Linked DNA regions of Drosophila melanogaster. The protein of the gene in region 2 purifies or fractionates together with the protein of the main gene of each other region. This does not show direct contact. Each region holds a gene or a part of one and is shown on either strand. Other genes may lie near its edges.

The links.
Region 1: the proteins of Ocrl (region 2) and IPIP purify together in Drosophila melanogaster (affinity purification with western blotting; 2 studies listed by BioGRID, with this or other methods). This does not show direct contact.

Annotation. Positions count from the first base shown.
Region 1 is NT_033779.5:6,046,007-6,050,950, reverse strand, and holds IPIP (inositol phosphatase interacting protein), read right to left. Parts: upstream 2,950-4,944; 5' UTR 2,842-2,949; coding exon of another isoform or gene 2,308-2,841; exon of another isoform or gene 2,258-2,307; 5' UTR 2,075-2,257; coding exon 2,014-2,074; intron 1,941-2,013; coding exon 1,605-1,940; intron 1,538-1,604; coding exon 1,319-1,537; intron 878-1,318; coding exon 603-877; 3' UTR 513-602; downstream 1-512. Other genes in the region: CG34179 (uncharacterized protein), read left to right, coding at 2,308-2,817, 3,171-3,212; slmo (slowmo), read left to right, coding at 3,251-3,898.
Region 2 is NC_004354.4:1,921,049-1,928,046, reverse strand, and holds Ocrl (oculocerebrorenal syndrome of lowe), read right to left. Parts: upstream 5,067-6,998; 5' UTR 4,290-5,066; coding exon 4,182-4,289; intron 3,949-4,181; coding exon 3,762-3,948; intron 3,520-3,761; coding exon 3,258-3,519; intron 3,197-3,257; coding exon 3,011-3,196; intron 2,945-3,010; coding exon 2,612-2,944; intron 2,545-2,611; coding exon 1,668-2,544; intron 1,602-1,667; coding exon 1,415-1,601; intron 1,354-1,414; coding exon 1,129-1,353; intron 1,069-1,128; coding exon 881-1,068; 3' UTR 523-880; downstream 1-522. Other genes in the region: CG11596 (uncharacterized protein), read right to left, coding at 128-261; eIF2Bepsilon (eukaryotic translation initiation factor 2B subunit epsilon), read left to right, coding at 5,224-5,316, 5,380-5,504, 5,578-6,866, 6,932-6,998.

The sequences.
Region 1 (4,944 bases), on a different chromosome or scaffold from region 2:
AAATATATTTATCTAGCGGGTGAACTTACAGTTCTGTGTGCGGCTTAATTACTTTTCACAGCTAAATTACAAACAACAACGCTAGGTTACAGAGCTGGAACATGTATCGATGGCTGCTCGCGATTATCGATGTTTCCACAAAGCAACCAACGTCGATGTTTTTGTTTTCTTAGCAGTTATCGATTATTTTCGCCGTTCACACTGGGTTTTGTGTCTATCGAATTTTTAAAAAATATTATGTTCTAAATAACAATTAATATGTGGTCTATTCATTTGGACAAAAAAAGTTTTGTTCTTTCATATGTAGAACTTTGTCATCCAAAAATTAGGTTTCTTTAAGTTATCCATTTGAGTAATCCCAACATTATGTTTAACTTTAAAACCAACTTAGTCCTTCAATTCTAACAAATAACCTAAAAAACCCAATTATTAGTATGCCCACATAACTGAGTGCGCCATGATCGCCGAAATTTGTTATATCTAAAGTTTTGTTTATTGAAACAAACATGTATGGAAATTAAGCATAGTTCATTTGAAACGTATTTGATTTAGCACAAAACGGGTAATACATTGGCTTTTTGTCGGAGCAGCCCACTCCTACATCACAACTGGATGAGCGGCTGACCCTGGCGCTCGCGGTAAGCGGACACATCCGGCATCAGTTCCCTGCGAAAGCGCTCGTGGTTGCGTGCGAACTCCTCCAGTGCTTTGACCTGGCGACGCTGGCGCTCAGCACCGTTGACGGTGCTGTGATTATTGTTGGCCGCTCCCGGATCCCGGACATCGGGATAGAAGACGCTGTTCGCGATGGCAGGAGCGGGCGTGGGACGGCGCTGGGCCCTGGGCGTTCCGCTGGGGCTTCCGTTTCCGTTTGCGTCTGCAAGTAGAAAGTGCCTGTAGCCTGGCTTTGGGAATATGCAACAGATTTTGCAGAGAATGTCGCTTAGTGGCATTCCGCTGACTAAATTAGATCGGCTCTGGGTAAATGGCAACGATAAGCTGGCAATCGAAGTTCGGATTATACTGAGAGCACTCTGCTCTTATCTCTAGCTTCTACTAACGGTAGACTCACATTGTATTGGGACAAACAAACAGCTGGCTTTGGGGCCGAAAAATGCCGTATGATTGTATTTAGGCAAAGTTGTAGTTCTGCGGTTATCTATTGGCCAAGTTTCCCACTTAAAATTAGCTTTTAAAACTCAAAGCCCCGAACATGGTGATTCATTTCGTCTTTCAATTTGGTCACTTCCGTTCAGTTAATTTTTGCATTACTATACCCACAGCATTGTACATCCATTTTAAGAGTACGTGTTCATACCTTGCTTGCTCATTAGCTTCTCCTGCTGCAGGCGCGCGTTGCTCGATCCGAAGTATCCGTTGATAAATGGCAGGGGCGACATGACTACTCCGCCCCTCAGCGAACTGTCTGGTGGAGGAGGAGCGGGTCTGTTGAATGGATTTGTCCGCCTGGGCGGCGGTCTAGGCTTCGCACTCTCCGATGCATTTTGTGGTCCGTCCAAGGCGCTGCCGAGCATCTCTGTAGGTTAAAGAACGCAGCGGATTAGTGCACAGGGATTGTAGGATTAGCCATTGTGCAGTCTCACTGTTTCTTGCGTCCTCCATCTCTTGCAACTGGCGTTTTAGCTCGGCCAGGATGATGCGCTTATACTCGTAGCCGGCGCATGTTAGCGCCTTCATCCACGTCTCCATGCTGTCTTGGTTTTCGGCGGCGAGGATGTAGGTGCGATTGCCGTTGAAGGCGATCTCGAAGCAGTAGTTGTCCACCTCGTTAGACAGCTCAATGGTGCAGCCCTCGACAATGATGAGGCCCAAGGGCTCCTTGTCCAAGCGCGACTCGAAGTAGAAGAGCAGGTTGCCTTTCAGCACGAAGTAGCGTCGCTGGAAGGCCTTGTTGACCTCGCCCCGTTTGTTGAGGAAGCCTGCAAGGCGTATCGGTGTGTGATAAATGGATTATGATTATTAATAGACGAGCGAAAGGGCTCGCTTGCATACCTTCCATGTCGAAGGGCGGCGTTCTCGCGAACACGTACAGGTTCTTCTCGTTGATCTTCATGGCTGCACTGTCTCGGGCTGCATTCGAAGCAAATATGGGTGTCCTATTTCCGCCTTTCGTCTCTTATTATTGTGATGAACAGGTAAAAAAAATGCAAAGCGAGAAACAATTGACGCTGCGCGAACAGCTGATGGCCAGTGCTGCCACACCTCCACCGGTTATCGATTGCTGGGTGCGGAATTTCTAGTTTTCAATGTAGATTGCAAACATAAACGAATTTTGAATCCTGCGAAATGTCGTACTTACTCACGGAAATCGCGCTGGAGATGCTGGGCTACAAGTTCTACGACACCAATGGCACATTCCACCTGACCAATTTTCAAAACAACTCCACGCTCAGCGAAACGCATCCCGATGAGCCCTCCCTGCAGGAATTCATTGAGTACACAAATGAGGAGCTGAAGCAAGACGCGCAACAGCAGGAGCCGCACACGCTGGCGGTGCAGGAGGAGTCGTACCTGGATGCCCCCACCATACCCGAGTCACGCTATGCGCGGCGCACGCCGGCCAAGGCGCTGGCCAAGATAATGGACTACGAGAGCGAGAAGATAGTCAACCAGATCAGCACTCGTCTGGAGGGCTCGGTGTCACGTCGGGCGGCGGCGGACAGTGACGAGCAGCTGGCCGAGATCATCAACGAGGAGAGGAAACTAATCGAGGCGGATGCCGAGGTAATACACAACTTTCGGGAGCTCGTGGAGAGCCGACTACAGCGATTGGATAAACGGCCCTACGAGAAATACGTACGTACCTTCGGGCCGCAATAGGAAGCTGCACGTGCAATGTCAAAGTGCCGCCATTACTTTTAGAATTAATTTAGTTTATAAATTTAATAAATAAGTTACCGCTACAGGGTGCCTGCGGCACTTTCATTTTCTCTTACTGCGCCAGTGTGACCACCCTAGCCCATGCACTGGCCAGCGATAGCCCCATCTATCGGAGCCACTGTCATCTCTAGCAGCACAGCACGAGTAAAGGTCAGCTCTCGTAACTTGTCTCGGAAATATTCAATAATTCCGAGATTGCCGTCAAAATTCGAGTCGTGTACTTCAGCTAACGCTCCCCCTGTTTAATTCCGTTCCGTCTGCCCCCGCAGGCTCAGCTCAGCCCGCATCTCGGCTGCCAATTAAGGATATAAAGCCCTCCCCGGACGGTGACGACAACGGCGCTTGCATAATGAAAATCTGGACATCGGAGCACATATTCAACCACCCGTGGGAGACGGTCACGCAGGCGGCGTGGCGCAAGTACCCCAATCCGATGACGCCCTCCATCATTGGCACGGACGTGGTCGAGCGCCGTGTGGTGGACGGCGTCCTGCACACGCATCGCCTGGTGCAGTCCAAGTGGTACTTCCCCAAGTGGACGCACGCGCTGATCGGCACGGCCAAAACTTGTTTCGCCAGCGAACGCTCCACGGTGGACCCGGAGCGCAAACAGATGGTGCTGAAGACAAACAACCTCACCTTCTGCCGCAACATCAGCGTGGACGAGGTGCTCTACTATGAGCCGCATCCGTCGGATGCCAGCAAGACGCTGCTCAAGCAGGAGGCCACCGTGACCGTCTTTGGTGTGCCGCTGTCCCACTACATGGAGGACCTGCTCACCTCGACCATTAGCACAAATGCCGGCAAGGGACGCCAGGGCCTGGAGTGGGTGATCGGGCTGATCAACACGGAGGTCAAGGGCATCGCTCGCGGCACCGACGAACTTCTGCACAACACACGGCGCTCCATCGACGAGGTGACGGAGAGCGCGCGGAAGAGCATGGACGAGATCAGTGCGCAGGCCGCCAAGGCGGCGAAGGCGATGCACATTACGTAGGTGTCGACAAGGCGACAGTGCAAGGTCGCGCGGGGGCTGTTCACTAGTGAATTATTTAGATGGCGCGCGGTCGTCGTTTTAGTACAACTAATTAATCGATGGCACGATGGACATGGACAGCAACATGTGGGACAGCAACACCTTCCTCTATTCTCAAGCCATTCAATGCATATATTTTATAATTATTACTCCCCTTCGAACGAATCGACTGCTAATGAGTCATGTCGATAAAGAAGTGCCCCCGAATGGCTGAACTGGAAGGAACTCGCGCTAATGCTGGCCCCCATTCATGCAGATCAATATATATATAAACCTAAAGTACATAGTCAATGTAAGCTTTGTAAGCCGCCGCAGATTTCGAAGAACGAGAGGAGCAATTAAACGACATATTTGCCTACGACCAGCCAGTGTCAAGTTCAATTGTTTAATTTTAATTCGCAGCACACTTGTACTGCGTCTTTTTTTTTTGCATTTGCATGACGTTCGCATGTGCAACTGCAGCAATTTTAAGCATTCTGTGTATAAATAAAACCCAAGAAAGTCGATTTGTGGGTTTTTTCTCTACATACATACTTGATTAGCGATTTTTGGCGTCTGTTTTATTCGCTTATCATCAAAAGCCCACGTGCCTAGTGGCTCAACAACTGTGTACCTAGTTAGCATCGCAGACATGGAAACTGATATGTCCCTTATCTGGTTCAACAGTTGCGAAGAATGTGATTGAAGGGGAAAGTGGGTGCTTGGAAACAAGTTGATGATCAAACAGCAGGTGTTCTAGGGACAAGGTGAAATACTTTTACCTAACTTATCAAAAGAAGTAACTTATTTATTTAGCAGTTTTCGTAAGCTTTTAATCAAAATAAACAAGTAATCCTTACGAATTACAATTAAACTATTTGGTTCATTGAACCCGTGTAGCATTAACCCTTGCAAGTTACGCAATGGGTACAATTTACGAAAGCTTTTAAAGCTCAATTCGCCTAAGGGTTAATTTGAATTCCAGCGGCAGTCGCTGTGCAGCACTGGCCAACCGAACGCTGTGGTGG
Region 2 (6,998 bases):
TAGTTTGTCGGCAGCTTGTCTGCACATGTCGCTGTCACCGCACCGCCCCCCCTCAACGACGATCGGTTGGCAAGCGTCCGTTTGGAGCATGTGCTCCAGAACACAGCGCAAAAACAATAACAATTACCCATAGTAAAGGAAGGCGTTCTGCACCTTCTGAATGTGCTTCTCCTCCTCCTCCTCGTTGATGACGAAGGTTCGGGCCAGTTGCTCGTCCATTTTAGGATGCATTGGGAACGTGGCGCAGTCCATGGAGCTCATCTGGGCGCGTCGTCAGCGGTTTCAACGATAATCTATGCTATTTAAATCCTGGGAGTAATCCGTTGCCTTTGCATTCTGCTGTCGTCTCTGCCGTCAACTGAAGTCGCCACTTTAGATCTGGTTACACTGTCGATAACTTTGGGAATTTAATCGATACCATCCGTACTCACAAATCCGTAGCGCGTCTTTTAATTTTGAAAATTTTGGCGGGCGTGGCCAAATATGTGAACAGCCAATGTAGAGATTTTTCAGAATATTGATACTGTATGTAACGGTGTTATTTATTTTCAGTTGCAACTGAAACGGGGATGTAAGAGGGTCACTTCATTAATTTAAACTAACAAACAATCGTGCTAAACGAATTACTTATTTACACAATTCATTTATCTTTGCGTTGCTGGTTGCGTGTCTCCATGGATTTGTGATGCAGGCGGGGACAACCGAGTTGGAATGAACGGAGGGCGGGCACAAACAATTAACAGTTAAAACAGAGAAGATATAAATGCTAAGTGCCAACAAAGTACCAACAAATAAAATAAATAGCTTAACACTATGCGTAACTATCAACAGAGTAGTACATCTATCGCTCGCTTCCGATTCGGCGGCACAGCTGCGGCGACTATGCCTGCAGACCCGCCCGGGTCCCAGATCCCGAGCCTGTTCCAGTTCCGGCGCCCTCATTGCCGTTGCCCATTGCCTCGACGTCGGTGTCGATGAAGAGCCGCATGAACTGTATGCATCGGCTGTGGTAGTCCATCCAGGCGGCACGCTCGGTGCTTCGCAACAGAATGCGGCCAAAGGTGGATGCTGTGTGGGAGGAATGGCGTTACGATGGTGGTACAATGCTGCTGGAGCTTCTCTACCTACCGACTTGATGCAGATCATAGAACTGACTCTCGATGCCCGCGCGCAGGAACATACAAAGGTGCATGAAAACATTGCGCTTGGGGGGACTTAACAGCGAAATGTAGTCCATAGCCTGCGACTTGTTGGTGCACTCCAGCAGATTCTCGACCACCGGCTCCAGCAGAGCATGCTCCGGCAGATCCAGCAAAAGCAGCAGCGCCTGCGCAGCCGTCTCTGCGTTGGCAGCTGTAGATTGTAAGGGAATATTCACAACTATTATGGTGGCAATCTAATAGAGTCCACTTACGGAACGGATCATCCGACCAGGTGTCCAACCAATCGCGCACCGAGTTAAATTGAGCGCCGAGGGAGAGACGCGAGTCGTAGGACGGGAAGGCGCCCACCTGCTTGGAGCCCTGCCTGTACAGATAGTCGATCAGCAGAAAGAATTCCCGGGGCATCGTCACACGGTATTCCGGTGATTCGTCATTCATCTGCAACGAAACGTGGTTCGTGATCAGTAGAAAAACTTCGTAATTACAAAAATGAAGGGAACTCACGAGTTGCTTAATCTGATCTTGGGAATACTCGCTTAATGGACGGTCGGTGCGGCACATCGTCTCCATGGAAAGGCCAAAGCAACTGGGCTGATAGTCGCCCGTAACCGTGATGAAGATGTCACGCCCGTTCTCCACGTGCAGGATGAGAATATCGAAGTTGTCGCTAGCACGGATCTTGCGAAGCAAGCCGGCAATGGTGCGCACATTGGCGTTCATTTTCAGCCGAATGCTTCGGGCGGAGTCGATCAGCAGCGAGTCTTGGCGCGGATCGACGTGCAGCCATGGCTCGCAGATGGCGTGTATATCCTTCTCTTTGAAACTGAAGTCCACAGGTAGTGGGCAGTTGTTATAGACGTTGAAGTCCCGTGTGCTCGGCTCGTTAAATCGCACAGTCCCGAAATCGATGACCGTCTTCTCGACATTGATCTGTGGCTGGTTGTCGTTCTCCCGCTTGTCCACTGCCTTCAGCACCTCCTCCTGCACCCGTTTGTACTTGACCTCATCGCGAGTCTTGACCTTGACCTGGAACACGGCGTACACGGGCTTGTGATCGCTCTGCCGAATCTCCATGATGCTGTTGTAGGCCAGCTGCTCGATGCGCGTGCCCTTCCAGAGCACTCGATCGCAGTAGGCCGGCGCCCGCTGCTTCTCGCTGCTGTCGTAGTTGTCCGTGCCCGGATCATACTTGTACGTCGGCCGGAACTTGATCTCGCCCTCGGTGTAGCCCTCAAAGCACTTTCCACGCCGCATCTCCTGACGTAGCTGGTCGTACTGCAGTAGCAGCTCGTATGTCTGGGCATCGCTCAGTGGTCCTGGTCGCTGTTGGCCGGGCGGCTCCTGGATGCGGTAATTCAAATCGCCGACCCAGAAGATGTGACTAGAAAAAGACAGAGATGGAGTGAAATAATACTGACTTATACTTATGCCTTCTTCCCCAAACTTACTCATGGTCACTGATTGTTCGGCCATCATCGAAGCGTATGCCCTCCACGATAGCGTTGTAGTCCTGATTCCGCTCCTCCACGTAGCCCATGTGGGCGGCCAGGTGGGAGTTCACAAAGCAGATGTTGCCCTCGTTGAGCTGCAGGCTAATGGCGACACCGCCCTTGTTGCCTAGCGTATTGAAGATGCCGCGGGCCACCGACTTTGGTCGGCAGCGTATGATGTGCTGCCGCAGCTGCTTGCGCACGATGACCGTCAGCATGGTGGCCACCAGGCGGTGCGACATCAGGATTTCGTACTCTACGTCAGGGTGGACGCTGTCCATCATCTTATCGCTGCGGGAGAAAGAACCAACTTAGACTCTCGGTAACGAGGCTATATAACTTATGTGGCACACTCACATCCATTGCTTCTCGATGGCCTGCACCTGGGTGGAGTTCAACATAGCCTTTGTGGGAGTATCTAGCTCCTGCAGTCCAATCGCGTAGATATCCGGCGGCTTCTCACTGCAAGCCAGCCAGGCTCGCAGTGGATTGTTGCTGTCGCTGCAGGTCTTGTTGTTCACATTCCAAGTGGCGCAGTAGATGCTGCAAGGATTGAATAAATGTGCGTGAGAACTCTTGCTTGACAGGGCATTTTCCATCTCACATTATGTCCTTGTAGACAATGTACTCGCTCTCCCGCTTCTTCAGCTCCTGCTTCACTTCTCCGATTTGCCGGTAGTCATTCAGCCACCTGAAGTTAAGCACCGTCTCGGGATCATGCTGCGCCATGGTGCTCTTGAAGGAAATCACCTTGGCCACAAACTCCTCGTAGTGGTGGCTCTCCGTGGCGTAGTAGTAGTACTTGATGGGGCCATCCTCGGCTGTGGACAGGTCAAACTGTTGCGTGGTGATCGAGCTCTTGCTGTCTGCAAAAAATTTGGAAAATGATATATGAAAAAGAGCGAGCTTTCACTAATTAGTTTGCTTTCATCTCAGCTGAAACTATTTGAGATACCAATATTATCATAAGTAAATGCAGTCGTAATCTGTTATGGCCAATAATGAGCGCAAACTTATTGGTTTTGTGACTACTTGACAAACAGTTACTGGGCAATTTGTTTGGCTAGCATAGTCAAGCTGTGTGATGAACATGCACCCTTCATCTCACCCTGTCGCAACTGGAAATTGTGGTCGATTGCGAACACCTTGTTGATGATCAGCTCGTTCGCGGAGGACAATGGAGTGCGCAAGTAGGAGAACGCGATGATGGCAAACGTGCCGCCCGACTGCGATGAAACCAGGGCCAGAAGACGGTTGGAGTACTCTGGTCCTTTGATCTGATACGCCTCGAATATCTATAAGCAAAGGATTGTTTAATAGCAGCCGTTTTAGGTTTTTTTCTGAGCGAAGACGTGAGTGTGATTTAGGCGTAAGGTTACTTGTTAGCGATAATTAATCATCATTTTAGTGTATTTAGCATGTTTCCTGCTAATATTCGTCATTATACTTTAAAAGTCAATCATGATTGACCAACACTCCTTTCTAAACCTTCGCCTGCTTTGATTCGCCAGATCTGATGATTGCTTACGTATTCTATGGTCTCGTCCTCCTTGAAGCGCTCCTTGACAATGTCCTTGGTCGTCCTGGTGGCCGCAGTCGCGGTTCCATTGGCCACTGCCTCGCTCAACGTGTCCATTTGTCTCCGGATTCTGAGTACTGATAGGGTTTTCGAGTGCGCTTCGCTTTCCCCGCCAAGTCGGATTCTCCTCCGCCGCCTGTTTGCGAAGAGATGGCTGCGCTAATCGCTGAATGAAGGGCAGTACTTGAGGGGTTTTTCTTCTGCGTCGATAAATGTGCGTGTAGATATGGATATGGGCTGTATGGACAGTTTGCTTGTTTGCGTCGTTGCTCTTTTCTATTTATAGTTGGCGCGAACGCCCAGTGACTTGTCTTCGTCTGCTGCGGGGTCGCCTGCGAATGGGAATTCTTCGGGTCTTCGCTGGACTGGGAGCTGGCTGCTTGGTTTCTGGTGGCGAGGGCGTCACTGCAACTGGCCGGGGGGTGACCCTGCTCTTGGGCAGCGCGACCGTGGCGGAAGAGCAGTTGAGTTGTGGAATCGTGTTCAGTGCTTATCGCAGCCGTTTGTTTGTTTTCTCGCTTGCTGTGTTGTTGTTGTTGTTGCCTCCATCAAGGTGGGTGTATCGCACACACACGCACACGCACACACTCGCGCCCAGGGGCACTTATTCATCGGCAATGCGATGACAATTATTGGCAATCCAGCGCGATCTTACTAGGCTCGGCCGGCTGATGGGGCGCGGGAGAGGTGGGTGTTAGTACACACAGCACAGACAGAGTGGCACGCGTGCTAATTACCGCGCTGCGATCATTATTTATTTCCAATTATTTTCCGGGCGACTCTTGTAGCCGTTTTCGCGGTGTGACCAGTGTGGCAATGCTACGAAATGCGGCGTTCGAGCGAGTCCAATCAGAATTGGTTGGCGACCCGACTAAGCGTGTGACCAGCCTGCAAGTGCCATTACATACCGCATACCGCGTGCCGCAATCGCTCCAGTGGCCAGCAAACGAGTTGAATTTTTGGGGAAACTACTGGGTTGCAACGCGAGAAGATGGCCCAATTCGAGAAGGAGATCGTTCAGGCGGTGCTGATCGCCGACAACAATGTGTGGAACTTCAAGCCCCTCTCCGACGAGGGCTCTACGGTGAGTGAGCGCCACTGGAATAGGTGAATATCCATTGACTGTCGACCGTTGGATTCTTTGCAGGCCCTGCTGCCGCTGGTCAACGTGCGGATGCTTGACTACGCTCTCATGGCGCTGAACCGCAGCGGCGTGGAGGAGGTGTTCGTGTACACCAGCCTCTATCGCTCGAGCATCCGGGAGCACATCAGGTGGGTTCAGTTGCGGCAGCTGGCAGGATGATGCAATTATGGGTGCTAAACGCTCGATTCGCGTTTTTTGCAGGGCCGGCATTGCCACGGACGCAGCCTGGTCATTCAAGATGACCGTCCATGTGATTGGCGGCGAGGGTTGTCGCTGCTTCGGCGATGCCATGCGTGATTTGGACAATAAGGCGCTGATCCGTGGCCACTTCATTCTGCTCGGCGCCGATACGGTGACCAATGCCGATCTGCGCCCAGTGCTGGAGCAGCACAAGCGGCAGGCCAAGTTCGACAAGGGCACGGCCGCCACGCTGGTGTTCAAGGAGTGTGCCAACAATGTGCGCACTGGCAACGAGGTGCTGATCGCCGTGGACCGTCGCAACGACCGGCTGCACTACCACCAGCGGCTGCGGATGCACCACAAGGAGAATCGCTACCAACTACCACTAGATGTCTTTCTGGGCAACTCGTGTGTGGCGCTGCACCACAACCTCCTAGATCCGCAGATTGCCATTGGCTCGCCCTCAATGCTGTCCCTGTTCAACGACAACTTTGACTTTCAGACGCGTGATGACTTCGTCAGGGGTTTGTTGATAAACGAGGAACTGCTGGACAGCAGGATATATGTGGCACTGCTCCCGGCAGCCCAGTACGCGCACAAGGTGAACAACTGGCCGGCCTACCAGCTGGTTAGTCGGGACATTATCAACCGGTGGGCCTACCCCTTCGTTCCGGACATAGGCCTTTACAAGCTGCAGCAGGAGTACGTCTTCCACAAGGACAACATCTACAAGAGCCCCGAGGCGCATGTCTCGAAAGTGGCTTTGCTCCAGAACGTGGTCATCGAAGCGGGCAGTCACGTAGACAGTGGCTCAGTGATTAGTGACAGCGTGATTGGCGCCAATTGCCGGATCGGCAAGAACTGTCGACTGACCAATGCGTTCCTCATGGCCGACGTCACCGTAATGGACAACTGCAGACTGGAGCACTGCGTGGTGGGCGAAGGAGCCATCATCAACGAGGATTGCGACGTGAGCGCGGGCTGTGTGCTCGGTGCTAAAAGCGTGCTGCCTGCCAAGAAAACGCTGGCGAAGACCCTTATCACCAGAACGCCCAGCAGACGGCGTAGCGATGATGAGGTGGTAGTGGAGCTGAAGTCCATCGGTCCGCATGCCTATATTGTCAGCGATTTGACGACGGGTGATCCCGAGGACTCGGAGTGCGAGGACTTGTTGCCACAGCAGCCGCTCAGTATACCCAAAATGGGAGACTTGCTGGCGCCGCTGGACGAGATCAGTTACTGCAGCGATTTTAGCGAGGACGACGAGGATGCCTCGCGAGCGGTAACGCCACTGCCCGATGACACAAACAGTGAGTGTTGTCCACAAGTGCAGTTGAAAGTCATTCTAATCATGTTTACCAATTGCCAATTCTAGTTTTCCTGGGCGAAGTCATCGATTCCTTGACACGGGGCTTCCGGGAGAAGTCCAACCCTGACTTCCT